Linked DNA regions of Sus scrofa. The protein of the gene in region 2 interacts with the protein of the main gene of each other region in a pairwise test. Links are inferred from orthologs where the notes say so. Each region holds a gene or a part of one and is shown on either strand. Other genes may lie near its edges.

What was found.
Region 1: the proteins of APLF (region 2) and XRCC4 interact in binary tests that used the Homo sapiens proteins (3 or more experiments, as listed by UniProt). The link is inferred for Sus scrofa from reciprocal best matches to the Homo sapiens genes APLF and XRCC4.

Annotation. Positions count from the first base shown.
Region 1 is NC_010444.4:91,381,326-91,398,000, reverse strand, and holds part of XRCC4 (DNA repair protein XRCC4), read right to left. Parts: intron 13,611-16,675; 5' UTR 13,601-13,610; coding exon 13,462-13,600; intron 6,817-13,461; coding exon 6,641-6,816; intron 1-6,640.
Region 2 is NC_010445.4:73,778,162-73,794,836, forward strand, and holds part of APLF (aprataxin and PNK-like factor), read right to left. Parts: intron 10,443-16,675; coding exon 10,087-10,442; intron 3,208-10,086; coding exon 3,082-3,207; intron 1-3,081. UniProt on the Homo sapiens protein: Histone chaperone involved in single-strand and double-strand DNA break repair.

The DNA.
Region 1 (16,675 bases), on a different chromosome or scaffold from region 2:
CATTTCAGAATGATAAATGGGTCAAATCATCAAGAGAACATGATAAATCTCAATGTTTTAAACTTTATAATGAAGATTCAAAATACATGAAGACCTGAAAATATTCAAGGAGAAGTAAACAAATTCATGATTACAGTTATAGATTTGAATATATTCTCAGTCATTGGTACAGCAAGTAGATAGAAAATAAGAATATAGAAAACTTAAGCAAGATCAACCAACCTGATCTAACTGACATATATATCCACCAAACAACAGGAGAATAAATATATCTTTCAAGTGCACACAGACCATTGAACAAGAGAGACTATATTCAGGGCCTTAATATAAGTACAAATCAATTTAAAATGATTCAAGTCACATACAGTTTTCTAACAACAATGGAACTAAATTAAAAAGCAACAACAGAAAAATATCTAGAATATCAAAAAAATGGAAAGTTAATTACAAACTTCCAAATAACTCACGAGTGCAAATTTTATCTAAAGGAAAATTTTAGGAAATACTTTAAATGAAAATGACAACATGGTCATACCAAAATTTGTGAAATGAAGTTAAGGCACACCTGAAAGGAAATTTAGATCCTAAAATACCTAAATGAGGTAAGAAGAGAGGTCTCAAATCAGTGACCTCAGCTTTCACTTCAAAGTGATAAACCTGACAAAAAATTTACAAGATCCATACTGTGAAAACTACCAACTGCTGAGTGACTAAAGAGTAACATATAAATCAGTATTTCTAAACCTTCACACTTACTAACATTTTGGACCAGATACTTCTTTGTCATGGAAGCTTGTCCTGTGCTCTGAAGGATGTTTAGCAGCCTCCTGGTCTTCTACCCACTGAATGTCAGCAGCAGCTGCTGGCTGTGACAATCAAAAATGACTCTAGATATTGCCACATGTTCCTGGAAGAGCAAAATCTCCCCCAGTTTAGAACCACTGGGGACCTAAACAAATGGCGAGATATATTTTGCTCATTGGTCAGAAAACTCAATATTGTTAATTCTGTAAATTCAATGCATTCAGCAGACTTTTTTGTAAAACGTGACAAACTGATTCTTTATTATAAACCTAAGTTACCAAGACAGTCTGAGGTTGGCACAGAGATAGATAAAGAGATCAGTGGAAAAAGACAGAGTCCAAATATAGACCCATATGTATATAGTTAAGGGATTTTCAACAGAGCTCAAGAAATGTGGTACATCGATATGATAATACTACTAAGTAATTAAAAGGAATGAATTGTTGACACAACACATAATAATGAATCTCGAAAACATTATACCATGTAAAGTTACATGCAAGAGTATATACTGTCCAGTTCTATTTGTATGAAATTCTAAAACAGGTAAAGCTAATCTAGAGTGACAAAGAGGAGTTTAGTGGGTGCCTGCAGACTGGAGAGTGAGCAGGGACAGGGAGGGAGGTGAGGGAGTAATTTGGGACTGACTTCAAAGAAGCATGAAGGAACTGTCTGGAGTGATGAAAACTTCACATTTATTGTATATATATTACACCAAAACAAACAAACAAAAAATTATTTTGGGAGTTCCCTTTGTGGCTCAGTGGTCAATGAACCCAACTAGGATCCATGAGGATGTGTGTTCAATCCCTGACCTCACTCAGTGAGTTGGGGATCTGGCGTTGCCGAGAGCTGTGGTGTAGGTCACAGACGTGGCTTGGATCCCACGTTGCTGTGGCTGTGGCATAGGCCGGCAGCTGTAGCTCCGATTTGACCCCTAGACTGGGAACTTTCATATGCCATGGGCAGGGCCCTAAAAAGAAAAAAAAAAAAAAAAAAAACTATTTTGGCAGAAGTCTGGATTCTACCCTACCTAACTTAGTATCTCTGCTTTCCTAAGGAATTTGCTTATGCTTTCAGCAACTGTTTCCTCAAATAAAAATAGTGATAATGCCAAGTCCACATGATGAAGTGAGAGCATATATTAAAAGGGGATTAACTGAAAATAAGCACAAATTAATATTATTACCAATCAAAAGTTCTTTTAGAGTATGGTGTTTACATGCTACCTTTAACTTCTGTTTTCACTAAATTGTTTCTTTTCTGAAAATCCTGGAATAACTGAACAAATTAAAATATAATCCTGTTGAGATGTTTCTTATAAAACAAGAAAACATTTTAAATCAAAGCAGAACAACATAAGACAAAGAAAATGAGTTCCCAAAGACAAAACTGTAACTACAAACTAATCTTTCTTTAAAGTAATAATTCTACGGTCTGGTCTATGGCATAACTACAAAATACATACTTTGAGCACAATTTCTGCACCACTTACATTACTGATTTAGTTTCCATATACCAAAAGGTAAGGAATTACAAAGGGTTTAATACAAAAATGGTAGATGTATACAAATACTTTTATCACAGAAATAAAAAATACAACAATTTCTTTTTGAGGCCTTCAAGCAACACATTTGCAACCCATACTCCCACAAACCTGAAAATCATTACTACTTTTGACAAAGTCTTTGGCAGAATACCATGATAAAGGCTCCAATTCTGATATTTCATCTGGAAATACCCAGTTGATTTCAAAGTCCCCCAAACCACAGGGACACATGGCAATAATATAGGATTTTGGACTGCTGTTTTTAAAAACAACTTTGACTGCTTTTGGCTAACTTATTTTACCTCATTTTTATATATCTGAAAAACGTACATTACATAAATGTAAGAAGGCTGTTTGAACTTAGAATGCATTTTCTATTTTTCTTAAAAGGTTACTACAGAGAGTAAAATAGAAAACTATCATATATCTCACTACATGTTGTAACATTTTTTAAACTACGACTGAAACAATTATTTGACTAGACAAAGACCCCTGTAACAATACAAGTGAGCCCTTCTAAATGACTGATGGACACTTCAGTCTCTCCCAAATATTAACATGCAGAGATTGCCTATTGTCCCTCAATATCCACCTTCCTCTTTTTACACAGCTATGAAAATTTCTGGTCAGAGGATGCAGCTGAAGATCCCACTTCACAGATTCCCTTGCAGCTATGCGAAGCCCTGGGACTTAGTTCTGGACAATGGGATATGTGCAGAAGTAATGAATGCAATATTAAGGTGATGGTCTTAAAGAAAATGCACATGTGCTTTATTTTCTCTTAACTCAGTCTTATTGCCTGCAAGGTGAGCAGGGCAACATAGTTAAAGAAGCCTGAACCTCCACATTATAAAACCATTGTTTTAACCAGGTCTGCCTATTTGGATCTTTGCCTTCATGATGTATGTCATCAAGTTTTCAGTCTATACTATATCTGAAGCCAATATCTGATAGTGGGGGAGGGAGAGGAAGGAAACAAAAATGCAAAAAGATTTTATTATAATTCTAATACAGACCTAAAGCTGATTCTCATGTGTATGTTTGTATGTGTGTTTATCATGTTTAATTTTCCTTCAAACCACATGGCTTTCCTCATTAGGACTATTTTTAGAAATATAAAACTACAGTATGTTAGATGACCTAGAATGAATCCAAGTAATCACTTTAAAACTTCATAGATGAGAAAACAGAAGTGTGAGCAAACTAAATGATAAGCCCAGGGTTACTCTTAAAAAATAATTAAGCCTTTTTTATGTGGCTCATGAATGAAAATATTTTCTGAAGGAAGAGAGCAAATTATGAAAGCGGAAGAGGAAGACATTGTTAATTAAGATGTATTATTTGCATGACAAAGTATATACTGCAAAATCCATAAGAACTGTGAAAGGTGGAGGGAAAAGAGTAACACAAAGTACATGAATACTCTTCTGAGTGGGTGACAGTACTTATAGTGAAGAGATAATGACTTCCACATGTTTGCACCAAAGTACACTTTCATTCATAACAATCTATTGCCAAATGAAGTGTCCTGGTGATGTGACAGGAGGATCTCAGAGGTTGTACTCTATAGAGAAAAAGAACTACTAGCATCTAGCTGGCCATTCAATACTTATTCCAATGAAAATTAAGCTAAAGTAGAAACATCTATGAGAACATCTAGGAAAAGCCAAAGGGAGCATAAAAAAAATTGGGGGGTATTATGAGTTAAAAAGTAATCTCATAAAAATTATGGACTCCATCTCTAGAAAAAAATGCATGTAAATATCAACATAAACATTACACGTATTAAGGATTTCATTGCTTTGGAAATTGACAATTCTTTCACTCTGATAAAACACAAGACAGTATTTCTAAAAATCAGGTCTTTTAGAATATAAAAGTTAGCAGTTAATTCCTTTCTAAGAAATAGGGAGAAAAAAGAAAAAATTGTGATACAAATATAAGTTTCAAATAAGTCTTATATGACTTGAATATTCAAAATATTCAAATTATGCAGTGATCTCCAACACAGAATTACATATACAAAACTTCTTGAATTGATGGCAACAAATGCCCAAAATCCTTGACTCTCAGAGGCATGAGACTGTTAGCAAATGTATTTTGAACTCAAAGAATATACTTTCCCATGGGAGAATAACCTCATGTCAACAAACAACAAAATTCACTACAACTTTTTGAGTTGAATGTACATTCATTCTTCTCTTTTCTTCTAAGTGTGGGAGGTCATTTTTGGCAACAATTAAATTACATCAAGGAAAGGATTACAAACTCCTTTTAAATTTTTAGGTCATCCAAAGCAAAAGTAGCCATAAAAAGTATTCTGCCATGTTTCCAACTGTCAGAATATTTTTGCCAGCAGATGAATTTACAAGATATTGTCACTCTGAAATTCAATTTGCAAAAACATCTTCTGAAGCACTAGAAGATTACCATGGGAAGTTTGGCCATAAAAACTTGTGATTTTCATGTACATCCGTAAGGCTGATTGCAGCACCTCAAACTCGTTTTACCTTACTCAAATATCTAAAACTCTCTCTCAAGTAAGCCAAGGCATGAACTCCTCCTCATCAAACTGTTCTCAGAGTAGATTTTCTTTTCCTCATAGGCAAATTAATAAATGAAGAAATAATGAGGCTGCTATCTAAACTGCACTGTAGTGCTTTGGGACATATCCATTAGGGAACCAACCCGCTTCTGCAATACTGGTAATCTCTTATTCTGTGAGCATCTCTTGAGAAAGAAAACCTGTTGAAAAGGGAGTTCAAGGCTTTGGCTGCGATAAAGTTGACTGATTTTAGGGCAATAAGCAGAGTATCTTTCAGGATCATTGCCACAGTTTTTGAGGCTGATACATGTCAAGCCAATTGTAAAAGACTTAAGTCACGAACACTTTAAATTCTTTCTTCACAAAGGCAGCAAAATCAGATGTACTGTCAGGCATGGTAAGTACTCCATCCACACTCAATGCACCAAACAAACCCTCCTTTTCATCATGTCAAAGATACCAAAAGGCTCTCAAGTTCCCAAAAGGTACCTCTCAAACTTAGAACTTGTTATGCACCAGTACACTCAAAACGGATGAAGACTAGAATCTAGCCACATGAAATAATGTTAGTTACTATATACAAATGCTTGTTGAGTGGGAAATGGCATTACTCCCAACTTGACAATGATCTGCTTCAAAATATTAGAATCAAGAGTTGTGTAGTATATAACATCATTTGATTATACTTGAACCATAGCAAAGAACACTTCGTGATAAATAACAAAATTTCAGTAGTCAGTTCAATCCTTACTTACCTTATTTTAAATTATCATCTTAAGGACCTCAACATATTGAAACTTACATAAGTTGACAGCTAAGTTGAATAAGTATGCATGTTTTAAATAGAAATCATTACTGAAGCCAGGCTTTCTGTATTATTCTCTATAGGAAAATATACATTTGAAAGTAATGATTCCATCTGTGGCTTCAAATGTTTCTCCAATTGGTAAAATCCCTTTAATCATTCTGAATTAAAGAGGTTTTTTTTTAAAGAAGAAATTTTTGAACTCAATTTAGCTCCAGCACAAACCATCAATAACTGCCTCTAAACTTAATGTAGTAAAGATTTCCTTCCCTTTCTTTTGCTTTAGAGCTCATATCTGATTGATAAACACTAACAAAAAGCAAATAATTCAACCACCAATTATACCATAAACTTGGATAAACTATACAAACAGTAAGTACTAAACTTTAAATAAATAAACCTTAATCTGAATGGTAGAGAAACTGAACAGGACAGGAGCAAATATCTTTGTCTGCACAGCAAGCAAGCTTTGGAAAGCTTGTGTTGAAAGTTATTTCTATTTTAATACCTTTTTGCAATTTCAAATACATTCTGATGAAGAAGAAAAAAGAATAAATATGCAAAGAAAAATATATTGTTCTCTTTCTTCAAATCAGTATTTCCCCAAACTTATTTCAATAAACCTTGTCTCATGATTTGAAAATTCTGAAGGCACTTTTCAGAACTGCTCATTCATGTGATTATCTCAATAATATTTAGTTTTAAAGATTTAAAAATTAAATAGTTTTCCAACATTTTTTTCACAATTCATTAATATAAAGCATTTAATAACTATAACTTTGAAGCATTCTTCCAACTTGGAAATCAAGTACTTTTCAAACTTTTGTTTCTGAGGTATTCTGGGAATAATATGCTAGTTACTTAAATAATTTCTCAATAAGCCAATAAGTGCTCTGACATTTTACCACTTAAGAGTATTATGGAAAGTTTTACTTACTGAAACATCTTTCAAGTTCTTCTCAAAGGAGAATTGACAAGAGTCTTTTGAAAAATTAAACTTGTATGTGTCAGTTGGTCCTGCTCCTGACACCAATGCTTTTCTCAGTTCATCAACATATTTCTCTTTTTCCAATGCCATGTCATCAGCTTCTTGGGAAATCTCTGATTCAGAAACTATGAGAAATATTAATTAAAAAGTTTTATTTATGTGAAAATAAATTTCTAAACATAAGAATAAATGTTTACTGGTTGCTACTAATTACTTACATAACATTACTTATGTACGTATATAACAGAAATTTAAACAAAAAGTACAATCAATCCCCACATCACACATTTTTAAGTTATTTCTTAATTTTTGAGAAATACATTGACTTAGTCTCAAATCTCATCTGAAAAGCATTCTTTCTGTCCTCAGATGATACAAATGCATTATGAATTATCACAGAAACAGCCATCTTGTATACCTGCTCCGAAGTCACAGCAGAGAAGTTATTTCCTATCATGACTAATAAACTCAGTATTTTACAACTTTCTTCCTTGCCTCAACTATTAAAGGGATTAAACAGGCTATTTCTTATTCAGATGGGCAGTCAAAGTAAAAACAGAATTCCTTCTTCTCATCTTCTCATGTGCTAAAAACAAAAACAGTGGACGAAGGGAGTTGATGAAGAAGGAAAGGGTAAGGAATTAATATTTACTGTCTCCTCTACGACATATATCACATTTCTGGCTTCCAGTTCTCTCATCTACGTACATTTAAAGCTGATGTTTTACTCATCCATAGAGATTTTTACTTCAATAATATTTTCAATTTTAGATACTCTCTTAATTTCTTTTTCATAATATTTTGTCCTTACCACACCTTTCCTTTAAATATGTGAAAGATTTAAACATATTTAAGATCCCGTTGAGATTAGTATCTATGCATAGTTCCTAGGATATTAATTCCATTTCTTCTGGGAGCTGACACATTCTCGTTCTGTTCTGTTGGTTGGTTGGTTGGTTGGTTTTAAAGATGACTTCATTAACAGGCTCACCTCCAGGTTTCTTTATCTTGAGAGCTCAGCTCCAATTCTTTAAGAAGCTTAAAATTTCAACATGCCACTCCACTTAGATACCACAGTCACAGTCATTTAGATGTATACCTACTTCAGATATCCCATGAACCTATAGTTCTTGAGTTCCCATTAACCATTTTGATTTTCAGATACCTCTTCACACATGGCACCTAGGGACTTCCCTTCCTTCCATTAAAGCTGCAATGTGAATGTCTGTTTGCTTTTAAAATCACAAGATCTAACCTAATATTTCTTCAGAATGGTTGATTGGTTCTTGTGTCAACTCAGGCTACCACAATGATGCAAGATCCACATGGATCTAAACTTTTATATTTAAAGGTTACATTTATTTATTTTATTCCTTATAACAGTGAAAGATAGAGATTCTCATTTGGCAAATGATAAAATTGAGGCTCCAAGAGATCAATTAATGGCCTCGGGTCATGAAGTAGCTAAGTGCTAAGACTGAGATTGGTATGTATGTCTCTCTGGTTGTTCTGTTTTAAGGTAAAGCAAAGATATGGGACACTAGATAAATTCCTTTCATAATATTAAAAAAATGCATTGGTATGAAAGAGTAGAGAAAATAATAAAACTTTGATTAAAGATTTCTTAAAAATATAACTTCTTTTGTAACTTTGCTCCATATGTTATCAAGTGTCTAGAAGCCCCACGATGAGGAAGAGAGTCTGGAATACATCCATATATTTTTCATGATCAATATTTGATAAGTTCTCATACTGAAATATGGGCTTCAGCACAGCCTTTGAAAAAAGGTAAGTATAAAATTATTCTTTTTATTTTTGTTTTTTTTAGGGCCACACACACAGAATATGGAAGTTCCCAGGCTAGGAGTTGAATCAGAGCTATAGCTGCCAGCCTACACCACAGCCACGGCAACATGGGATCTGACCCACCTCTGTGACCTACACCACAGCTCATGGCAATGCCGGATCCTTAATTGACTGAGCGAGGCCAGGGATAGAACTCATGTCCTCATGGATATTAGCCAGGTTCGTTACTGCTGAGCCACAACAGGAACTCCTAAAAATATTCTTGTGAGATTCTACAACTTCTAAATACTTCCACATATTTTTTCTCTCTCTGAAGCATACGCATATTTAAGATGATCACTACTATCAAATCTACTGACATTTCAAATACCCTATTAGCTCGTAAAAAATAACATAAAACTAAGAAGGCAATCACTTCCTCTCTAAGGAATAATTTCATATTTTTGGCTTGTAAATGTTTTAAGAGTTATAAGGACCTAGAGAAATTATTTCATTGAAAAATAGAAAATAATCTATAGAAACAATCTTTAATGCAACTATAGAAAAATCTATAAGGAAACACACAAAAGAAAGTATATCTACTGATAAAACGGCTAGTAGAAAGTACTCTAAATTTTATTAAAGTGAAAAGATACCTTTATGAAAATATTTAATAGAATCTATTGATTCAATTCATTTATTGCATAATGCTTAATGAGCATCTACTATGTGCCAGGCACTATTCTAGGCATCAGAGAGACAATATCTAGACAGACAAAAATACCAGCCTTATGGAACCTTGATTCAAGTACTGACATCTTAGATATCTTTGCAGATACCCTTTTAGATATTATCTTCGATATTACACTTCTGTTACTCCATCTGGGAATGCTGCATTGGTTAATGTTACGAAATACTTGATAAATTCATTTGAGTAATTTAAAAAAATTTTTTAAATGTTATGAAATACTTCATTCCTGAGGGAAAAAAATATATATATAATAGGAAATTCTTTCTAATAATACTTTTTTAAAAAGTGTCAGGGAGTTCCTGTCGTGGCACAGTGGTTAACGAATCCGACTAGGAACCATGAGGTTGCGGGTTCGATCCCTGGCCTTGCTCAGTGGGTTAAGGATCCAGCGTTGCTGTGAGCTGTGGTGTAGGTTGCAGACGCAGCTTAGATCCCACGTTGCTGTGGCTCTGGTGTAGGCCAACGGCTACAGCTCCGATTTGACCCCTAGCCTGGGAGCCTCCATATGCCGTGGGAGCAGCCCTAGAAAAGGCAAAAAGACCAAAAAAAAAAAAAAAAAAAAGCGTTGGTTTAAGAAAAAAGCTTACTTAATCATTTCCTGTAAGTGAAATTTTGACTGCCTATTTAGAAGTTCAATCCTAGCAAAACAATTTGGTCACTGGTTTTGAATTTTGTGCTGGAAGAAGCACAGTTGGAAGCCTTCAATGCTCCAAAAACTTCAGTGACCAGGGATAAAAGCAATGGAAGTAAAGAAATTCAGTAAGGATACAGTTGAACCACAAAATATGGGGAAAAAAAAATGGGAAGGAAAAAAAAAAAAAAAAGTGAGCAGGCCAATGTGACCAAAATACAATTACTTGTTCTTGGACAGGTAGGAGCCAAGAAAGCATCATTTTAACACTATTTGTAGGTAGGTAGAGATGTAAATAAGAAAAGAATATTCTTTATTTTGGATCCTTATGTATAATGAATCAAAAGACTGTATATCCTAAGTTTGTGGTGGAGCTGAGAAGGCACACAGACTTACGAAGTCACCAAATCACGGACCCACTTTATTACTTCATTCATTAAAAATCCTTTTTTGGGGAGTTCCCTGATGGCTCAGGGGGTTAAAGATCCAGTATTGTCACTGCTATGGCTGTGGTCACTGCTGAACTGCTGAGGTGTGAGTTCGATTCCTGGCCTGGGAACTTCTGAATGCCAGGGGTGCAACCAAAAGAAAAAAATCATTTTTCTACTGAGTTCTATCACATAATCTCCATAAAAGTCACCAAGTACATCAATGTTTAAAACAAATGTAAGTGGATATAATTACTTGAAACTAAATGCATTAACAAAGCTTAATTTACACTTCAATGAACTTTTTTTAAACTGCTCCAGAAAAGGGTGATACAAGTTTCTTACTGCTGATTGTGATTCTTATGAAAGTCACATAACAGTCATCGATCACTAACCCACTTTGTGACTTTACCCTATATAACCCTCTATAATGTCGAAGTGATGATAAACCACATGATAATTAGACCCCAAAACATTCATTAGATAAAACATTGCTAATGGAAAAGAAATCAGTGAGTTTAGTGTGTGGGAGATTAAAAAGAACCCCACATCCTTTTAATTTCACTGAAATGAAAAGAAAAAAAATTATCCAAATTGAAGGTTGCAGCAATGAAAAACCTGTACAAAAAAACAGGATGAGGTATAGGAAGGAAATTCATTTTCATGTTTCAATTATTTAATTGTTTTAATGTTCTTAATCACGTTATTGTCTATTTGTAAAGTGCCGAACCAAATTAGATTTATGTATAAGCCTTAACATGGAAACAATATGATATTATTTGGCTTCATATTTTGTCCCTGAAATTTACACAAGAATATAGAAGTGAATAATTAAAAAGTATAAAACATTCATGAGATCTAAAACTTCAATGTCTTTGAGAACAAATGACCATATCTAGTGTACTATAAAATTTTCTGTTTGAAAACTTGTATAAAATAGCAAGCTCAAATGTTAACAACCCACCAAAGGATACAGAAGTTTGATCACACTATATTTCATATTTTTATCACACTATATATCATTAGCTAAAAAACAAACGGTAAAACATACTGCATCTATGATCAATGCCAACAATAAGTAAATATGAAACTGAAGTTTTCATTAAAAAATACGCTAGCTCTAAAAATGATGGTTTCACTTTCTCTTTTTTCCTTAGCTAGTTTTATATATTTCAGGCATCCTTTGATTGTTTTTCAAAGAATATCCATTGAGCACATATGTCCTACGTACTGGTCTAGATAATTATGAACAGTGGTTGACGAATCAGATTTGTCCCTTGCTCTCAATGGATCTAGGCTAGCAAAACAATATTATTAATAATATTAAGGACAACCGCCAGTTATTTTGTATGAAATAAACAAAATGTTCCATAAATGTAAAATCAACTTAAATTTCTGGTTAAATTAAGATTTAAGAGTTAATCACAGTACTGGTTTTCTTTTCCTGATCCTTAATGACACAAAAATTCAAACAACATATTTTTACTGTTTTTTGCCTTAGTGAATGAAATTAATTAACTAGATTAAAATTTAATCTTTTCTTTTGATAAGTAAGGCTCTTAAAACATTGCAAGGTCTTTCCTCTGACCATAACCTCTCATTATACAGAATATGCCACCTGTTAACTGGAAATACCTATGTTATAAATACAGTATTCCTTACATACAACCAACCATTTCACCTAGGATCTGATTCCTGGGCTGTGCTATTGGAACTGCTCTTTTCTCCTAGAAAAATGGTATTAACTTACTGCTATGATCTTCAATCCAGTATACTATTCACCCCCAAACAGAGCTACTGTCATTTGAATACACCTTCACCAGGAAACAGAGAACTAACCTGACAAATTTTCCTCTATTTTGCATTGCAACAACCAACCAATAACTGATTTTTCTTACGTAGAAATTCGCAACTTAAATAGATACCACAACAGTTACTGAAAACATTATCCTAAAAATTTCTTTATTTTACAATACTTGTAACAACATTCCTTGCTCTGTCATGAAAAATGAATGAAAAAAACTCAAAAACTCTGCAAGTATAAATGCAGTTTGACTATTTTGTATAACAGAATCTGTACCATTTAAGAAAAAGCAACACTTCACAATGCATTGTGATTTTAAAAGGGGATATAATAATTACAATAACAAATTTTGGAGAAATATTTTAAAAGTTGATAGATGATAAATAGGCAAATAGAATATAAATTAACATGACAAAATTATTCTACCTAAAATATCATTTACAACATTAACTCTAGAAATGACTATTGCATAAACATAAAATCTTTCAATAAAATACTTTCAAAGTAGATTAAAACTTTGCTATATAAGTAAAACATAATTCTAAATATTTTGACTTTACACTTGTAATGTTAATAAATGATTTCAGGGCCTTTAGGCTTTTTTAAAGATTACACTAACGATTTTAAAAATCAAAAGTCTAGAAGCAGCTTGGGTCACTTCAGAGGTGTGGGTTCAATCCCCAGCCCCGCAGAGTGGTTAAAGGATCCAGCACTGCTGCAACTCCAGAGAAGGTCGCAGCTGCAGCTAGGAGTCAATCACTGGCCTGGGAACTTCCATATACTGCAGATGTGGCCATTAAAAAAAAAAGAAAAAATCAAAAGTCTATTTCAAATATAAATAATAATAGCCAAAATCCCACATACAGACTTGAATCTTGGTTTATAAAGTCTTAGTCTATGAGTTCTGTTTTGTTGCATTATGAATGTAGTACATGTTTATTGGAAAAAAAGTCAAACAATATAAGTATATGAAATAAAATGAAAACCACCACCAACCCACTCTCCCAAGTCCTGGCCCAGGCAATCCTTCTTCCTGTGCACCCCAATAGTTCCCTGGGGTCCTGTGAAAAGATACATGTAAAAAGTACTCTTTATTTTTTTTTTATAAAGAGATAATTTTAAAAACTCTGACCAACTTCAAGTAATAAGACTCAAAGGGTTATTTCTCTATCCTTCTATTAATGTAACTTATAGAAAATGGCATTATATTACAAGTTTATGTGTAAATTAGACAGTAATAGCAAGTAAAAGCAATCATGTTAATTTTAACCAATATCTATTAAAGAAACATTTTAATGTGAAGTATCACTGAGGGCTGAAGAATAGCACATTACTGAAATATTTCTTTAAGAAATTTGCTTTTGATATTACCTGTCCCAATCCATGCTGACTGCCCATCAGTAAGGGTAATAACAAAACCAGATCCTAGTGTTTTCTCCCAAGCGACTTGTAGAAAATGAATTATTTCAGGTTCAGAAGTGAGATAGATTCTGCTTACTTTTCTCTCCATTTCTGGTCACCTATTATAAAAGGATAAAATTAATACATTTGTAAGAAACTCCATCAAACAGTGTGTTTTCTGTATTGCTCTCCTAGTAATACAAAGCACCAAGGAAATAAGTAAAACAAAAAGCTGTATAATAGCCAACCATCAAACTCAGCAACATAGTTCTATTCAATATTGACTCACAATTTTTACCAATAAGCAGAAACTCATAAACGGCAAATGATTTGCCCAAGTTAGGTAAGTGATTAAAAATTACTGTTTCCAATAATATAAAGATAACATTTTTCCCACGTGTCAATAGCCTCTTTCTCCACAACAACAACAAAATGGTCATTAAGAACTGTGTGAGTGATCTATGAATAAATCTTAGGACTGGAATGTGATTATAAATTTGACCAAGTGTCTTAGTCACTGGAGAAAGACTGTGAAATGAGAAGAGAGAATAAACACAAAGATGAGGAAAAGAAAATCTTAGAACTCAAGAGTTGGCAATATCCTAGCATGCCTTGTCTAAGAATGGGATTCCCAGGACTCACTCTGCCCACTGAGACAGAAGTGCCCTTGAGTAGAGATCAGTTATATCAAGTTATCACAACCTACACCAATAAGTCTTTTTTTTTTTTTTTTTTTTTTTTTTTTTTTTTTTTTTTTTTTTGCATTTTGAAACTTTATATTTGAGTCTTATATACAGGGAAAAAAGCATATATCTAAAATCCAACTTGGCTAGTTTTGCAATGAAATGAATCCATATAAACAGTACCTAGACCAAGAAGCATAACGTTGCCAATACAGAACCTATTCTCACAATACCCCACTTCTAGTCACTATGTCCTCAAATAACCATTCTAACAGATTAGTTTTGAGTATTTTTGTACTTTTACACAGCACATTTTATTTTCTGTCTAGCCTCTTCTGTTCAAAATTGTGTTTGAAAAATACATTCATATTGTTTCTCAGAGTTCTACATCATCTTCATAGTTGTACAGTATTCCATGATACGGATATAGCACAATTTATTTATCCATTCTACTACTGACAGGCATTTGACCATTTTTCAGGTTTTGACTCTCACAAATGGTGCTACCGTAAACATGCTAGCAAGTGACTTTTCAGTTGGCTGTACACCCGTGAGTGGAATTTTTGGATCAGAGGATATGCACATGTTCAGTTTTAGTACCACGCAGCCAAAAGTTTTCTAAAAGGTTTATACCAATTTACACACTTGGTATATGAGAGTTATGATCACTTCATGTTCTTACCAACACTTCTCATCTTTATAATTTTAGACATTTTGGTGGGTGTTACATCATGGTTTTAATTCACATTTCCCTGATGCGCAAAAATGCTAAATTCTTTTCCTACTTTTACTGGGCATTTTAATATCCTGTTTTGTGGATTATCTATTAAATCTTGCCAATGTTTTTATTCAGTTTAATTTTATATTGATGTTCTTACTGATATTTTACTTTCTTTTTGATTCGTTCTTTATATTTTGGATATGAATCCTTTTATAGGTATTATGCACTGTGAATATATTTTTTCCATTCTATAAGTTACCTTTCCACTCTCATAATGGTATCTTTGGATGAAAAGAAGGACTTAATTTTCATGAAGTTAAAACTTATCAAAATTTTTATAACATATACTTTTTGTATCCTGCTTAAGAACTCTTTGGTAATTAAGATGTTTTATGTTTATCTAAAAGGTGTATAATTGTATAGCTCACATTTAGATCTGAAATCCCTCTGGAAGTGATTTTTGTGCATCCTGTCAGCAAAGGTTCAAAATATATTCTTTCCATATTTATATGGATATATAATTGACCCAGCACTACATATTAAAGACTATGCTTTCTCAACTGTAATGCTATATTACTTTTGTCATAAGTCATGTTACCAAATATGTGTACAAGGTTCACTATTTGTATTTGTTTATTTTTTTGCAGGTATGAAATTTCATGTTTATATTTGGCTTGTGAAGGTTACAGTGAATGCTAATTCTGTTATTATGATCCACCACATTTATAATCTATTGCTGACCTTGTGATTTAAAATTTTGATAAGCCTTTCTTCTAAGTATTAAAATAATTTATGTAAAATGTTGAGCAGGACAAGATCAAGAATAGACTTCTGTGGCTTACCATTAGAAATAAGCTTCTCTTAGAAATCAGTTACTACTGATACTAAGGGTGGGTATACTGCTGATACCTCCATTTAAGTCACAAGGGTATCAGGAGAATCCTTTGTAAAATCTACCTACTCTGCCAGTCCAGCAATGCCATGGAAGGAAGAAAGGAAGGGAGCAGGGAAGGGAGGAAATAAGTAAATTAAGATGATCCTACTCTCACCTCTAATGATTACAGATTCTTTTTTTATTAATTCAAAAACTGTTCTTCTGGTAATTCACTCTAGAATCTTGCCCAGATTGACCTCAAATTTATGAGACTGCGAATGACACATAGTATTTAGTTCAAAGCAAAAGACGAATTCTGGAATATCCTTTGGCCATGTGTACTTCATTAAGATATGCTTAAGCAATAGACACTAACAAACAAAACTAAAGAAATACCCTAAAAATTATACATATGCAAAGAAAAAATATTATAAAAAATAAAATCCAGGAATAAAGTACATTCTTCAATGATGAAAGACTAGAGAGAAATATTGTCTATTCACACAGCATAAATCTCTTACTACATGATCCTCAAAAAACTAAAAGAACATTCTTTAATCTTTTATTTGGGAGGGAGTATAAAATTTCCTCAACCTTTTATGACCAATATAAATAATATACTATGGCAATCCAAAGGTAGATTTTTAATTGACATTTTATCAATAACTGGTTAATAAGCTTTAATAACAGCAAATTTTAAATTGTTTAAATTTGCTTTTTCAATCTAAAACTATTATGTTCACATAAAAAATTATATTTTTCTCAACAATTGAACATGAAAATAAAAATAACTCATTCTGTTAGTTCTTCACAAAACAAAGCTAACTTTATCTCCCATAGGTTAGAGGAATGCTTAATTATAGAATGCTACAGTTACACTGTCTTACAGTAGAAAGCACAAGGAAG
Region 2 (16,675 bases):
GTTATGTGGTTGCATATATATTTTTCTCACTCTGTGGCCTATTCTCACTCTTATTTTTTTGGCCACGACTGTGGCATACAGAAGTTTCCAGGCCAGAGACTGAATCCCCGCCACAGCAACAACCCAAGCCATTGCAGTGACAAGCCAGATCCTTAACCCATGCACCATAAGAGAACTCCTATTTTCATTCTCTTAATGGTATCTACTGGTGAAAAAAATATTAATTTTAATTAATCAAATATTAAATGTTTTCCATTTTAGTTATTGCTTTTTTTAAATTAAAGGGTAGTTGATTTACAATGTTATATTAGTTTCAGGTGTACAGCAAAGTAATTCAGTTAAACATACATCTTTTTTTCAGAATCTTTCCCATTATAAGTTATTAAAAGATATTGAATATAGTTCCCTGTGTTATACACTAAATCTTTGTTGTTAGTTACTGCTTGCCCTAGAGCCCTAGAAAGCAATTCCAACTTTGGAATTGTGAAAATTACTCTTATACATGTACCTTTAAAATATAATTGTTTTAACATTTAGCTCTATGATCCATCTGCAATTCAATTTTTCACTGTGGTGTGAATTTTCTTTTTCCAGATAAATATTTGCATCCCAATAGAATTAACTGAAAAAACTCATATTTTTCTCAATGCCTGCAATGGCCCTTTTCATGAATATGTCACCTGTACATACACAGGTCTGTTTCTGGGTTCTACTCTGCTCTGGCCTTGTTACTTTATCTTTGGGCACATACCACACTGCCTTAATTAATGCAACAAGTCCTGCCAAATAATCTTCTTTACTTAATATTGTCTTGATTATTTTTGGCCATTTGCATATTCATATAAATTTTAGAATCACATCATATTTCTATACAAAAACTTGTGATATATTCAGAGAAAACTGGCATTTAAACAATATTGAATCTTCTAATCATGAAAATTTCAGTCTTTATAATTACTTAGGTTTTCCTAAAAATTTTTTTCTTATAAAGGTTTTTATATATGTTATTAGATTTATCTGTGATACTTTTTGATACTACCATAAATATAACATTTTAAAAGTTTATATTTTCTAATTGATGGTTCTGGAATATAGAAACATGACTGACCTTGTATATTGACATTTATATCCAATAACCTTGGCAAGCACTTACCAATACTTATAATTCAATCAGAGACTAGTCTGCATTTCTTATCTACACAATGATACCATTTGTCAACAATTAAACTTTTATTTCTTCCTTTCCAATAATCATTCATTTTCCTTTTCTTATCTTACTGCACTGTCTTACATCACTAGTACAATACTAAATAGAAGTAGTAATAAAAGGTATTCTTCTTGTCTCATTTGTTATGAGAAAGAAAAATTTTAATATCTCACTTCTAAGTAGATGTTTGCTGTTTTGGGTAGATATGCTTTATGATTATTAAAGATGTGTTCTTCTGTTCCTATATTAAAATGAGTTTTAATCATAAATGAATTAATTTTATCTATTTTTTAAATCATCTATTGAAACGATTATATGATTTTCTACTTATTCTGATATGTGATAAATTACACTACTTTTTTATTAGTAAACAAACCATGCCTTCTTTGAATAAAATCAATTTGGTCATATTATATTTTTCTTTTAAACCATTGTTTAATTCACTTAAACTTTTTTTGATAAAGATATTTACATCTAAGCTCAAAAGTAGTTTTTCCTGTACTTCTTCATTCTTTTATTTTTCTTGCTGAGTTTTTGTATCATAAAATGAGTTGATGAATACAGCCTTTTTTTTTAGAATACAAAAATTGAATGTTTCTTAAGTGTTTGATATAATTATCCACTAAAGCCAAATGGACTTAGAATTTCCTTAATGTAAATCTCTTAATTATGTCTTCAATGTCTCTAATGCTAAAGGATTATTCCACTTTCTTTTTCTTCTCATATCTTTTCTAAAAGTTGTATTTTCTAAGAATTTTGTTTCTCCTAAATTTTCAAATGTATTGACATCATTGATGATAATGTAATTTCATTATTATCTGAAGGATATTCTGTTGAAATGGAACACTTATTTTTCAAATGGTAATGCATAAAGTTTTTTTATTTTCTTTCCAGTCTCAGAAACTTACTTGGCCTTCTTATTGAAAACCAAATCACAGAAACAGTAACAACTTCAAAAAGGCCAGTAGGTTCAGCAACCTGTATTCCAATTAAAGCTCTCTAGGACTGGAATCACTACTTTGGTAGTTTTATTTATTTTAACTTCATTCATTCATTAAACAAAGTTGCAGATAAAAGAGTCCTTACTGTCAGGAAACTGTCTGGAAGAGAAGCCGATCCAGGAAAGAACCAAACACAATCTTATTAAATAAATTCTACTGTGCAATCCATGGCCTAGATGGTCACAAGATGGCCCAGATGGTCACAAGAAGGAGGGAGGGGAGGTACTATTTTCTTCTAAAACTGAGTTTCACGTGTTGGCAAGAATGGCAGAATGGTAGGAATTGAGAGCAGCAGAGATAACATCCTGAATTGATTTGTCACATTAAGGAGTCTAGATCGAGTACATAATGGGGAAGAAATGACAGTTTTTAAATTATCTGATTTGCATTTTCCCCCCTCTTTTTTTAGGGCCACACCTTCAGAATATGGAAGTTCCCAGGCTAGGAGTTGAATCAGAGCTGCAGCTGCCAGCCTATGCCACAGCCACAGCAATGTGGGATCCGAGCCACATCTGCAACCTACACCACAGCTTGTGGCAACACTGGATCCTTAACCCACTGAGCAAGGCCAGGGATTGAACCCTCATCCTCATGGATATTAGTCAGGTTCTTAACCTACTGAACCACAATTTGCATTTTGAAAGTTAGAAATGAGGAACAATTTCAGGATTTATAAGGTTAATAATGTCAAAAATTTAGAATTATCTAAAAGAACATTATAATCCTACTTATTAACAAAATAAAAATCTATTATCTATGTAAATTTTAAAAAGTTAAAGGCCTTAAATGAGAGGCTTACCTGCAGTTTCTCCTGAATAAGTAACAGAGATTAAGCAGAAAAAGAGTACAACAAAACACTTCAGGTTTACATACCGATAACAAGATGCTCCATAAGGACATTCAGGCCGCTCATCAGCCTCATCTTGACACGTGACATGTACATCTCCATAATCACTATCACCAGGGTGACTGAAGTGTTGAAAATGGACAGGATTCTTCCTATGAGAGTGACAAATACACTGTCAAAAAATAATAGAATATACTAGGTTTCTAGATATAAGAGAAAAAAACAATTAATAGGATATAGCAGGAAATCAAACAATACACATCTGATTATTCCAGAATATGAACCAACATGCTACACTTAAAAACAAAGCTCATGATATCTAGTCAGTACAGAAGTCTTACAGTAGCAAAATAAATTTCTAGTAACATGAATATCAATGGGCAACTTGCAAAGAGTACTTTATATCGGATATATAGGATACAGAATGTAAATATTATAAGCATACATAGCTTTTGAACACTTTTAATAAAGTGAACACACCTATGCATCCTCTGCTAAAATAAAAAACAGAAAACTACCAACAATCTAGAAGTTCTGCATGCCCACTCCCAATCATTAAACCCACTTAACTACCCCAAGGTACCCACTATCCTATCAGCTGAAACAATGTTTCTTAAATTTTTTGGTCTGAGGGGAAAAAAAAACCATTAAAACTCCCAAGAGCTTTAATTTATGTGGGTTATATAACCTATTAGAAACTAAAATAAGAAATTTTAAAATACATTTATTTTAAAATAACAAACCTTTTACATATTATCATAAATAACACAATTAATGTAAATATCCATCTACCAAAAAAATCATAGAGACACTGCATCATACGTTATACATTTCTTTAATGTCTGGATTAATGGAGGACACCTGGATTTTCATATCTGCTTCTGTACTCAATCATTAACACAAATCATGTAGCCTCTGGGAAATTCTATTGTACACTTGTGAGCAAGAGAATCAGAGTGAAAAAGGTACATAAAGGATTATTATGAAAATGGTTTTGGTCCAAAATATTTCTTAAAAGCATCTAGGGGACAAGGACTCACCATGGTTTCTGGACCATATTTTGAGAAGCAATGTTATAAAACAACATATTAGTTTCATCTGTTCTTGAATTAAAATGGAAATGTATAGTATATACTTTTTTGAGAATGACTTATTTATTTGTTTGTTTGTCTCTTTTGGCCATTCCCATGGCATGTGGAAGTTCTTAGCACAGGGATAAAACCTATGCCAAAGCAGCAACCAGAGCCGCTGCAGCAACAATGCCAGATCCTTAACCTGCTGAGCGACAAGAGAACTCTGAGAATGACTTCCATTTGAATGATCATTCCACATTGTTGCATGTAACAGTAGTATACTTTTATCACTGTGTAACATTCCATTGTATGAAACTGCCCATTCCACTATCTGTCCATTCCACTATTAACAGACTTCTGGATTCATTCTAGTTATTGGCTTTCAGAAATAATACTTCCATGAACATTCTACTTTGGGTATACTATTAGAAGTAATAAACTAATTCAGCAAAGTTGCAGAATACAAAAATCAACGTTCAAAAACCAGTTGTGTTTATATATACTCGTAATAAACAATCCCAAAAGAAAATGATGAAAACTATTTGATTTATAATAACACTTAAAAGTTGGAGTTCCTGTCATGGCGCAGTGGTTAACGAATCTGACTAGGAACCATGAGGTTGCAGGTTCAATCCCTGGCCTCACTCAGTGGGCTGAGGATCCACCACTGCTGTGAGCTGTGGTGTGGGTTGCAGATGTGGCTCGGATCCTGCATTGCTGTGTCTGTGGCATAGGCTGGTGGCTACAGCTCTGATTAGACCCCTAGCCTGGGAACCTCCATGTGCCGTGGGTGTGGCCCTAGAAAGGACAAAAAGAAAGAATAATAATAATAATAAATAAAAGTAAAATATTTAGGAAATAAGCCTGAGGTGAAAGACAAGACAAGTTTAATTTCTATTACAGAAAACACAAATAAATAGACATCCTATGTTCATGGAATGGAAGACTTAATATTGTTAAACTACTCTCAAAGCAAACTACAGATTTAAAGCAATCCTTAGTAAAATCCCAATGATATTTTTTGCAGAAATAGAAAAATCCATCCTAAATTTCATGTGGAATCTCAAGGGACCTCGAATGGACAAGACAATCTTGAAAAAAAAGACCAAAAGGTTGGAGGTTTCACACTTTTTGATTTCAAAACTTATTACAAAACCACAGTCATCAAACTAGTGTGGTACTGTCATAAAGATCAAGGATATAGACACATGGAAGAGAACAGAGAGCCCAGAAATAAACTCAGGCTTATATGGTCAAGTGATTTTCAACAAAGGTGCCAAGACCATTCCAAAAGGAAATAATAGTCTTTCCAACAAAAGGTGTTGGGAAAATTGGATACTGACATAAAAAAGAATGAAGTTGGACCCTTCCCTTATACCACACACAAAATTCATTCGAAGTGCATCAAAGAACTAAACATAAGGCCTAAAACATAAAGCTTTTAGAATGGGGGGGGGGCTTCATGACACTGGATTTGTATACAATTTCTTGCCAAATGCAAAGACAACAAATGTAAAAGTAGATAAATTGGTCTACATTAGAATTAAAATTTTCTGTGGATCCAATTAATAGAGTGAAAAGGCAACCTACATACAGAATGAGAGAAGTATCTGCAAGTCATGTACCTAATGAGGGCTTAATATCCCTATACAAAGAACTCCTACAACTCAATGCCAAAAGATAAATAACATGATTCAAGAATGAGCAAAGGACTTGAATAGATATTTCTCCAAAGATATACACAAATGGTTAACAAACATATGAAAAGATGTTCAACATCACTAATCATTAGGGAAATGCAAATCAAAAACACAATGAGGTATCATACCTCACACCTATTAAAATGACCACCATCAAAAAAAAAAAAAAAAAAACTCAGAAAATAATAAATATTGGCAAGGATGTGGAGAAATTGTACCCTCTGTGCAATGTTGACAGAAATATAAAACGATAACATAGCTGCAATGGAAAACAGTATGGTGGTTCCTCAAAAAATTAAAAATAGAGGAGTTCCTGTCGTGGCACAGTGGAAACAAATCCGAGTAGGAACTATGAGGTTGCAGGTTTGATCCTTGGCCTTGCTCAGTGGGTTAAAGATCCATGTTGCCGTGAGCAGTGGTATAGGTTGCAGATGCATCTTGGATCTAGCATTGCTGTGGCTATGGCGTAGGCCAGCAACTGTAGCTCCGATTAGACCCCTAGCCTGGAAACCTTCATATACCATGGGTGTGGCCCTAAAAAACAAATAAAATAAAATAAAAATAGAATTATCATATGATCCAGCAATTCTATTTTTGGGTATATACCCCAAATAATTGAACATAGAATCTCAAAGAGTTAGCATTATTCACAATAGCCAAGAGTTAGAAGCAACCCAAAGGTCCATTGTCAGATGAATGGATAAACACGACATGGTTTGTATGTAAACTGAAATATTATTCAGCCTTAAAAAGAAAGGAAATTCTGACACTTGTTACAAAATGGATGAACCTTAAGGACCTAAGTAAAATAAGCCAGTCATAAAATAACAAATACTGTATTCTTCCACTTATGTAGCATAACTATAGTCAAAATGAACTTGCTTTAATTCCCAACCATTTCTGTGCTATTTTCATATATTTTAATTTCACAAATATTTTATACAACACAAGTTATTAATGCTTTATAAGTCAATATTCAATTTTATTATGTTCCTATTTTCCATGCTAAACAGCTATATTTCAATATAGGGCCTCTCCTGCTTTGCAAACACTGACCTCCTTTTTGTTGGCTAAGCTCCGTAAGACCGCCCAAAACACCACCTGCCCTCTTAGCTCTCAGCCTCAAACACTAAAATGCTGGCAAGTGTCACAAGGGGAAAAGAAGCCTTAGGGTCCCAACTGCCTCCATGTTCTCAAATATGGGTGTTCAGCTTTGGTAACTGTTCTCAGTGGGAGGTTTGGGCCTCAATAAGACACTTCGCCTTTATCAGGGATGAAAATCTTATTTTATATACTATTAACTCAGATAATTTATATGACCTTATGTAGATAGAAGCTACAAGTTTTTAAATTAAGGTATAAATTTCTTACATGCTAATGAGACATTTCTATTTCTGTCCAGTTCTTAAACCCAGTTTGCTTCATGGAGCCATATGCTATTAAACAGAAAAACTATATGACCCCCAAAAGAGTAAAATTTTCAAAAAGAACTTTTTGGAAGGAACAGTTTCTACAAAGTTAAATGCTGTTTTGCTGTTATTTTGTTTCACAAAGGAATAAGATGTGACTGCTTTAGACAGGTTGATTTTGAAGTGATGATTATCTGTATCTGAAATCTGTGTTGGAGATATAGGCTTGGGAGTTAATAGCATAACACCAAGGGACTGAATAAGACCACCCTTGAGGAATAATTTTCTATTAAGAGATAGAATATGAATATAAATAACCATAAATCAAAAATTAGGTATTAAATATAAGGTCTAATACCAAGTATTAGAAACTTATATGAAGAAGAAAGTTGCAGACTAGAGGATAAACAATTTAAAAAGGACATGTCAGAAAAGGACTCAGAAAGGAACTGAATGAATCTTGAAGTGGGACAGCAGTGAGGAAAAGGGAACGGCATGTTCAAAAGACAAATGACAGCATAACAGCATGGTGCATCCAAAGAATTACTGAGAGTTCAGGACCTTCTGGACTATGCTAAGAAAGCCAGGCTATAGCCTCCAAACAATTCTGTAAAAGGGAGTAATACTGTGAGATTTTTTTGTCTTCTCTCTCTTATTCTTTGTTTTTATTTTTTTGAAGGCAGATGACTCAGGCAACAATGAAGAAAAAATATGAACTTGAAGGCAAGTGTGATGACTTGTCCCAGAGAGGTCATGGTATGAGCTAAGACATGGCATTGAGGCTGGAGAAAAGACACATTTAACTGATTGTTATGATGTACATACATAACGAGTACTCAAAATAGGTTATTTTCCCCCTTTGTTACAAATATAAACATTTTGTCTTCAAGATTTAAGATTTCAATGGCAAATGTTTCTCAGGTATTAATTATGCATATGAAAATCAGTGAAAAAGTAAAATAACTATTCATAAGCTATGACTGATTAAAACTAACATGTATCATCATCAAATATGAATGAATTCAGTATAATCTTGATAAAATACTCAATCACATTTAACAAAGACAAATACAAGCCCAACACTGTTAGGGACTGAATTGTGTCATACCTCCCCAACCCTACACATTTATATGCTGAAACCTTAACCCCTAATGTGACTATATTTGGAGACAAGGCCTTTAAAGAGCTAATTCACATTAAATAAGGTCATAAGGGTAGGGCCTTGATCCAACTGACTGATGTCGTTATCAGATGAGAAAGAGACACCCAGGATGTGCATGAACAGAGAAAAGGCCATGTGAGGACATGAGAAGGCACCATCTGCAAGCCCAGGAAAGAGACTGCAGGAGAATCCAAACCGGCCAGCACCTTGATCACGGGCTTCCAGACTCCAGAGCTGTGAGATAATAAATTTCAGCAATTTAAGCCACCCAGTCCATAGTATTTTGTTATGGCAGCCACAGTAAACTAATACAAATATCAAACAGGATTTTTCAGAAATCCAAAATAACAGAAAGTTTATACTTCCATTCCCCAAGTTTATAAATTATGTTCCACATGCAGACCTAAGGCCACAGCAGATAGATAAAACTGTCAATAGATGCATAAATTATAATTGTTGAAATTGAACAATATCGTTACTCAAGTACTAAATGATACTGCATTTTTTTTGGCTGCACTCACAGCATGTGAAAGTTCTCAGGCTAGGGATTGAACCCATGCTGCAGTTGCAACCTGCACCACAATAGCGGCAACACCCAGATCCTTAACCCACTGTGCCACAGGGGAACTTCCTAAATGGCATTGCATTTTAAAGAGAGACATGAATGAAAAATTAAGAGAATATGTGACATAAGCATGCTATTGCATAAAAGACAACCTGTACTAGAATGTATTGATAAGACACTTGGTTTGATGAGCTGTAATGGCACAGAAATAATTCTGAAATACAGCTATGTATTTATCAGCATGTCAGTACAAACATAGAGGAACAAGAGACTACAAATAAGGAATTAGTTTGAATTCACAAAGTATGAAATCAAAAAATATGGTACCAGGTAACTAAATGAAGTATGGGAGTAACCAATCAATTCAAAGAATATATATTCAGTTGTTTTAGAAGGCATCATGGTGATTCAAAAGCACCATTAGAAAAATATGAACAAGGAGTTCCCATCTTGGCACAGTGGAAATGAATCCGACTAGGAACCATGAGGTTGCAGGTTCAATCCCTGGCCTTGCTCAGTGGGTTAAGGATCCGGCAGTGCCATGAGCTGTGGTATAGGTCGCAGATGTGGCTCGGATCTGGCATTGCTGTGGCTCTGGCATAGGCCAGCAGCAATAGCTCTGATTAGACCCCTAGCCTGGGAACTTCCATATGCCGCGGATTCGGCCCTAAAAAGACAAAAGACAAAACAAAACAAAATCCAAAAAAAACCTCACCAGTATAGTAAGATACCTAAACACAACCAATAATTTTCTTGAGAATTATTTTACATACAACTATTTTTGAAGCCCATCTTTCTAACATCTAAATAAGACATTAAATAAGCATGTATTTAAGGTCTGAGTGATTCTGTTTTCAAGTCTGAATCCCCCAGTTCAGATCCTTGCATTAATTAGCATATCCACAAATGAAACTTTTAATTCCTCACTATTATTTTAAAAGCCTCTAGCAGGATTTGCTAGAATGCATATTGAGAAAGTACAAATGAGCAGACACATGATAAAAACTCCTAACCTTTAGCCTATTGGGTTTTATTAGGCCTTTAACACACTATAGCATATATCTGCATAGCTATCTGCTATTGAAATGATGGAATTATATGCTACCCGTAATTTCATTTTACCTGTAGCAGTTTGCCCCATACATGCAAGATGTCCTCTTGAGCTTGTTTTCTTCAGAACCCTGTGGAACTGACCTGGTTGCCTCTGCATGCAAAGTTTCAGGATTGAAAGGATGAGAGCTGGACTCAGGATGAGACCTTTGAGATTCGTCCAGGGAGGATGTGCCTTGGGCACTTGAACAGCTCTCAGCACAGCTCCTCACCTTGTCGACTTTATTTGGTGTTCCCTTAGCAGTGATTTTTTGTTCAGAAACCTCACCAAGTTCCTCTACCGGGGTTTCATTTCTCTGTGTATTAGTTTTCACTTTATTCACTTCTGTATTGTGTAATGTGTTTGTAAAACGTGATTGTGGCATTTCCTATAAGACAAATCAGAAAAATAAAAAGTAAAGCATGTTTCAAAAGAAATAATGTAAATTTAAGCGTAAAAGTGTGAAACTACAACATTCGTGCAATATGTATATTTAAAATTTTTTATCCTTTTTTTTTTTTTTTTGCTTTTTAGAGCTGTACCCGTGGTATATGGAGGTTCCCAGACTAGGGGTCTAATCAGAGCTACAGCTGCCGGCCTGCACCACAGCCACAGCAACTCCAGATCCGAGCCGCATCTGCCACCTACACCACAGCTCACAGCAACACAGATCCTTAACCCACTAAGCAAGGCCAGGGATGGAACCTGCAACCTCATGGTTCCTAGTCAGATTTGTTTCCATTGCATCATGACGGAACTCCTGATTCATATTTTAAAGTTATTAAAATACCATTTTCTATGTCTCTAGTTTGTTAACTTTGAAATAATCTACAAGTATTAGAAAAGGAGTTCACAGTTACATGAAATCTTTACAATTGTGTCAAACATCAGTGAAAAGTAATCAGAAAACTATAAATTTGCTTTCATTTAAATATAACCTTTGCCCCCAAAACCTTAAATGTCTCTTAAATTACCTGTTCAACAATATGTCAAATTCTTATCATGCAGTTTTCTTATAATGTCCTATAAGTTACTTTAACATTTTATTTCTACCCTCTAAATATAATCACGATTTTTTCTTATAGCTGAATGATGAAATTGCTCCTCCCTCACAAAAAATTTGCATGAAGTCTATGTTATGACCAACTTAGAAAATAAATATGATTCCTCTGAAGTAATATGAATAACAGTTTCAGTTTAACCAATTAAAGATATTTTGAGTCAAGTAAATATTTTCACTAGCAAGACAGAACTTTTTTAATGTGTACTTACCACAAGTACAAAGAGTAAGCCTGGTCTTACCCTATTAAAAATGACCTCTTAATTACTTATATTTGATGTGGAGTGGAAACTGCTCAGATAAACCCCAGTCATCTTGGTAACCATTTCCAGGATGTGATGACAACATAATTGATAGACGTGAACATTTACCCCTATGTATAACTATGAACTCATGTATTCTGGCTGTCTTCTGGAAAGAGCTAGTTTTAGTATTATTTAATATCCAACAGTTCAAATTTCTTAAGAAGATACTATCAGCATGACTTCTTTTAGACTAATAACTTAGGCGTTTTGACAGTTTTTTTAAGAAATAGTATGCAACTTTAAAATGTTATCGAAACTGATTTAAAACATTGTGAAAAGAACCTAGGTCTAATCATGGTTCTTGTATAGTATTGATAAGCTATGGGAAAAGCAATCAGCTGGCTGCCTCTTGGTGCTGGCTCTCAGCTGGTGGCATTTACGCCCCATCCCTCTTTCCTCCCAAGCCACTCAGTTACACCCCAATCTCATCTCCCTCTGCTACAGGACCAACTAACACATGCCAGGAACTGCAACCGTAGGGCGGAGCCATCCTGACCCACTTCCCTACCGGCAGTCCCCCACTGGGTTAACTCAACCTATTTTCTTCTTCCCTCTTCAGCAGTAATGGGGTAGGTAGGCTAATCTCTGGCTAATTAAACAGGTCCCATAAAATGTCAGTCCCCTGTTCCTGTTGGCATCTCAAAATGCCATTATATGTGTGTGTGTGTGTGTGTATATATATATATATATATATATATATATATATATATATATATATATATATTTTTTTTTTTTTTTTTTGCTTTTTTAGGGCCACATCTGAGGCATATGAAAATTCCCAGGCTAGGGGTCTAATTGGAGCTGCAGCTGCCAGCTTTTGCCACAGCCACAGCAACACAGGATCGGAGCCTTGTCTGCAAGCTACACCACAGCTCACAGCTACACCAGATCCTTAACCCACTGAGCAAGGCCAGGGATCGAACCTGCATCCTCATGGATACTAGTTGGGATCATTACTGCTGAGCCACAAGAGGAAATCCACAATAAATTCTCTTAGAGTGCATCCCTTCTTGATTTTAGAAAAGGAGAAAATAACTTCTTCCCATCAATGCAGCACTCTTCCAAATCTTAAAACCTTCTTGTCTCTCAGTTCTCTTTGTATAAAGCCTGGGGGTGGGACAGCAAATACTTCTCACGCCTTTAAAGAAGCACCTAGAGAAGGGTGTGGCTCTCACTGCTGGGAGCTCCTTTCAAACATGAGATGCTTATACTTAGTGCTTCTGTCTCCAACATTGGGCCTCAGCAACAGTTTGGGGACAATAGGGGAAAATATCATACTCGATGTCCTCTCACATTTATTATAGGCGGGAAAAAGGATACAACTAGGGAAATGGTTAAATAAAGTAAAACACATTCTTACCATAAACACTATGTGGAGGTTGAAAAGGATGATGTAGACCTATATATATCTAAGGATTTTTATAAAGACCTTATTTAAAAAAAATTTCTTTTTTGTCTTTTTAGGGCCGCACCTGAGGTACATGGAGGTTCCCAGGCTAGGGGTCGAATCCAAGCTGCAGCTGCCAGCCTACACCAGAGCCACAGCAACGTCAGATCCAAGCCACATCGGTGACCTATACCACAGCTCACTTAACTTACTGAGCGAGGCCAGGGATCAAACCCTGCATCCTCATGTATACTAGTCAGATTCATTTCCACTGAGCCATGACAGGAACGCCTCTAAGAATTTTTAAAATTATACCATATATATACTATGATTCTATCTAACTTAAAAAAAATCCCCTATATATCCACATGAGTATTTACTTGTGTAAATCCAAGTGAAAAGATTCAGAAGGATGCAAACCAAAATGTCAGTAGGGAAATGGAATTAAAGGATGAGGCAAATCAAGAATTTCACTTTTTACTTCACACGTGTCTGAATATTCTAACTTTTGTACAATAAGCATCTACTATATTACCCCTTAAAAAATGAAAAGCAAACCAAAGAAATGAAATAAGATATAAAATGTAAAGCATCTTATTTCAACTCCCTCTACTTTCTTGAAATGTTAAGAGTTTATTTTTTTAATATCTTCAACAAGGAATATGTTTATCATGTTAATTTAATCCAAAAGAGAGAGGAGGATAAAGTCACAGATATCAATACCATGGATCAGGGGTTCTCAAATACATTTTAAGAGGCATAAAAGCTGGAATTCATAATGTTCTTTATGGAACTCCATGAAATATTGATATTCAGTAGGCCCTTGGCACTCAAGAATTTAATATTCATGGTTTCAATTATTTATAAACGGCCCAAAAAATCCATTACATGCAGTAATTTGTAAATTTGCTGAGACATAAATTCGTACTGTACCAGTTACAAGGCTCATGAGCCAGAGCGAGTCACTGAACCAGCAAACGAGGGAAGAGGAAAGATGGAAGGTGCTCTGTACTTGAAAGAAGCAGGGGGAAGGCAGAGAGCTCCATATTTTATGGCACTCACATTGCTTACGTCCTAGATTAGATGAAAATGTGAAGGATGATGTTGTGAGAGGCTAGAGATTCATGACAGAAGAGGCCAGATCCCCAACACTGTAAAAATACATGCTAGAGACCTCAGGAATCAAGAAGCCTGGAGCTGGTGGAAGGTGACCTTGGTGTTTGTAGGTGGCTAGAACATACTATGAAGACTATTAAAATAGCCTGGTAACTTGTCCAACAAGTCCTCCCTTCTACTCCCTTTTCTTCTGAAATTGCCAGAACCTGTCCCATCTGGCCCTTTAAAATTCAGCCTCCTCAGAATCCAGAGGCTACACTCTAATATCTTTCTTTCTTCTTTTTTTTCCCAGCCATGATGTGAATGTATTGATATGGGATCTCAGTTCCCGGACCAGGGATTGAACCAAAGAACTCCCAACCCTTAATTTCTTATATTCCCTGGATTTTTTTTTTTTTTTTTGGTTTTTTAGGGCTGCACCAGTGTCATCCATATGACATTAGACCCCAGGGTAGGGGTCTAATCAGAGCTGTAGCCGCTGGCCTATATCACAGCCACAGAAACTCCAGATCTGAGCCACATCTGTGCCCTACACCACAGCTCATGGCAACACCAGATCCTTGACCCACTGAGCGAGGCCAGGGGTCGAACCTGCACCTTCATGGATGCTAGTCAGATTCGTTTTTGCTGAGCCACATCAGGAACTCCCTTATGTTCCCTGGATTAAAGCTCAACTATAAGCCATAGTCAAAAATGTTCTCAAAGTAACTGAAGATCCTCACAGATTTGCTGAGGAATTTAATACAGTCATTCAAGCTTATCAACCTGGTTTCTCTGACTTATATCACCTAGTTCACATATTATCAGTGAAGACCAGGCCCAGCATTGGATAAAAACTGCTAACTGGGAAAATCTAGAAAGATCTCTAGAATTACAATGTGGAGACCAGCCCCCTCACTTACTATATAATCACACTTAAGCAATCATGAGGCGACTTCATCAGGTAATTGCTATAGTTTTTCCAAAGCCTGCGGACTGGAACAAAATTCAGGCTTGCACACAAAAATCTGATGATCTTGTTCACGCCTAGTGCAGTCAACTTCAGACTATTTTAGAAGAAAAATATGGTCTTCTTTCCGATGTTGATTCCACCTGGATGTCTGTTCGCTCTGTTTATTAACGGGCTGAACTGGGTCCTTTCCCTTCTAGTAAAAAGGACCAGGATGGAATGGGAAACCATGTCTAGTCCTGATTTAGTTGATCTCGCAAATTCACTACACTCAGTCTCTAGGCGCATCACCCGAAAGGAAGACTACTAAAATTCTTAATCTGCAAAATCTAGCAACTGAAGGCTCCTAAACAAAGCCAAAACCCTCCTAGTTTCTGCTATTATCACAAAGATCCAGGACATTGGGAAGAGACTGTCACAAACATAAGTACTTTAGACGCCTTAAGCCCTCTAACCAGGCTTTCCAACATCTCCCCAATTCTCAACGACAGGGCTCTGAGAAACTACAGGGGCTCTTCCCAATCCACCCTCACTATCAACCTGAAGAAACATTTCTCCAATTGGAAATGAATCTCTTCCAGTTCTAAATGATACCAGAGCCACATTCTCAGGGCTCAACCCCACTACTATAAAGCAGCCCCTAAAAAAGTTCAAATAGTGGGATCTGTACTGAGCCTCAAGAGTTTCCCATCTCTGACTCTATTCCCTTTTCTTTAGGCTTTTTGAGAGCTGCACATCCTTTTCTCTTTAGTTTCTCTGCCCCACTCATGTATTAGGGACTAATATTCATTTATTAGGCTGAGACTTCTCAGAGGCGCATCATTCTGGAATTTCTTTCTCCCAAGAGTCCAGAATTTGATGGCAGTCATTAAAATAACCAACCAAATGAATTAAATGATCCTTTGACATTTTTAATTTATTTTTTCCCTGACAGTACTAGACCTGATTCTAGAAACACTGATCATTTGTTCACAGTGAATCAGCTACTGCCCTCCTTATGAACGAAATCTCAAACTGATATGGGCAAAATTTACAGCATACTTCCCATCAAGATTCAAACAGGTCCCTCAAATCCATTTTCCCACAAGTAATCAATATTTTATAAGTAAGGAAGCCCTTAAAGGCATAAAGTTCATAACAGAAGATGACAAGGCTCAAGGTCTCATTATCCCTTACACCAGCCTGCTAAGAAAACCCAAGGGCTGAGGGTGGGGGTTTGTCCAGGATCTCCGAGCAAGTAAACAACACTGTTATCCTTTGACACCCTGTTGTTCTAACCCTCCATACATTACTGACATCCATTCCAACTGGAAGCAAATTCTTTACTGTTACTGATTTCTGCAGTTCATTCTCTGGTATTCCAGTTGAAGAGGCTGGCCAATACCTTTTTGCCCTCACTTGGGAAGGAAAACAATTCACCTGGACAGTAATGTGTGAGGGTTTTGCTGAGTCCCTCTTACTTCTCAGAAATCCTGAAGGCTGTCTGGATTATATTTAAGTTCCCTAGAGGTTCTACTTTGCTGTAATGTGTGGATGATTCACTTCTTTGCTCTCCTTCTCAGGCCTCCTCACAGGAAGACAAAATCTACTTGCTAAAGCTTTTAGCCTTAAAGGGACATAAGATCACCAAAGAAAAACTGCAGTTTGCCCAAACCTAGGTTCAGGTTTTTTTGTTTGTTTTGGTCTTTTTAGGGCTGCACCTGAGGTATATGGAAGTTCCCAGGCTAGGGGGCGAATCGGAGCTACAGCTGCCAGCTTTCACCACAGCCACAGGAACTCGGGATGTGAGCCTCATCTGCAACCT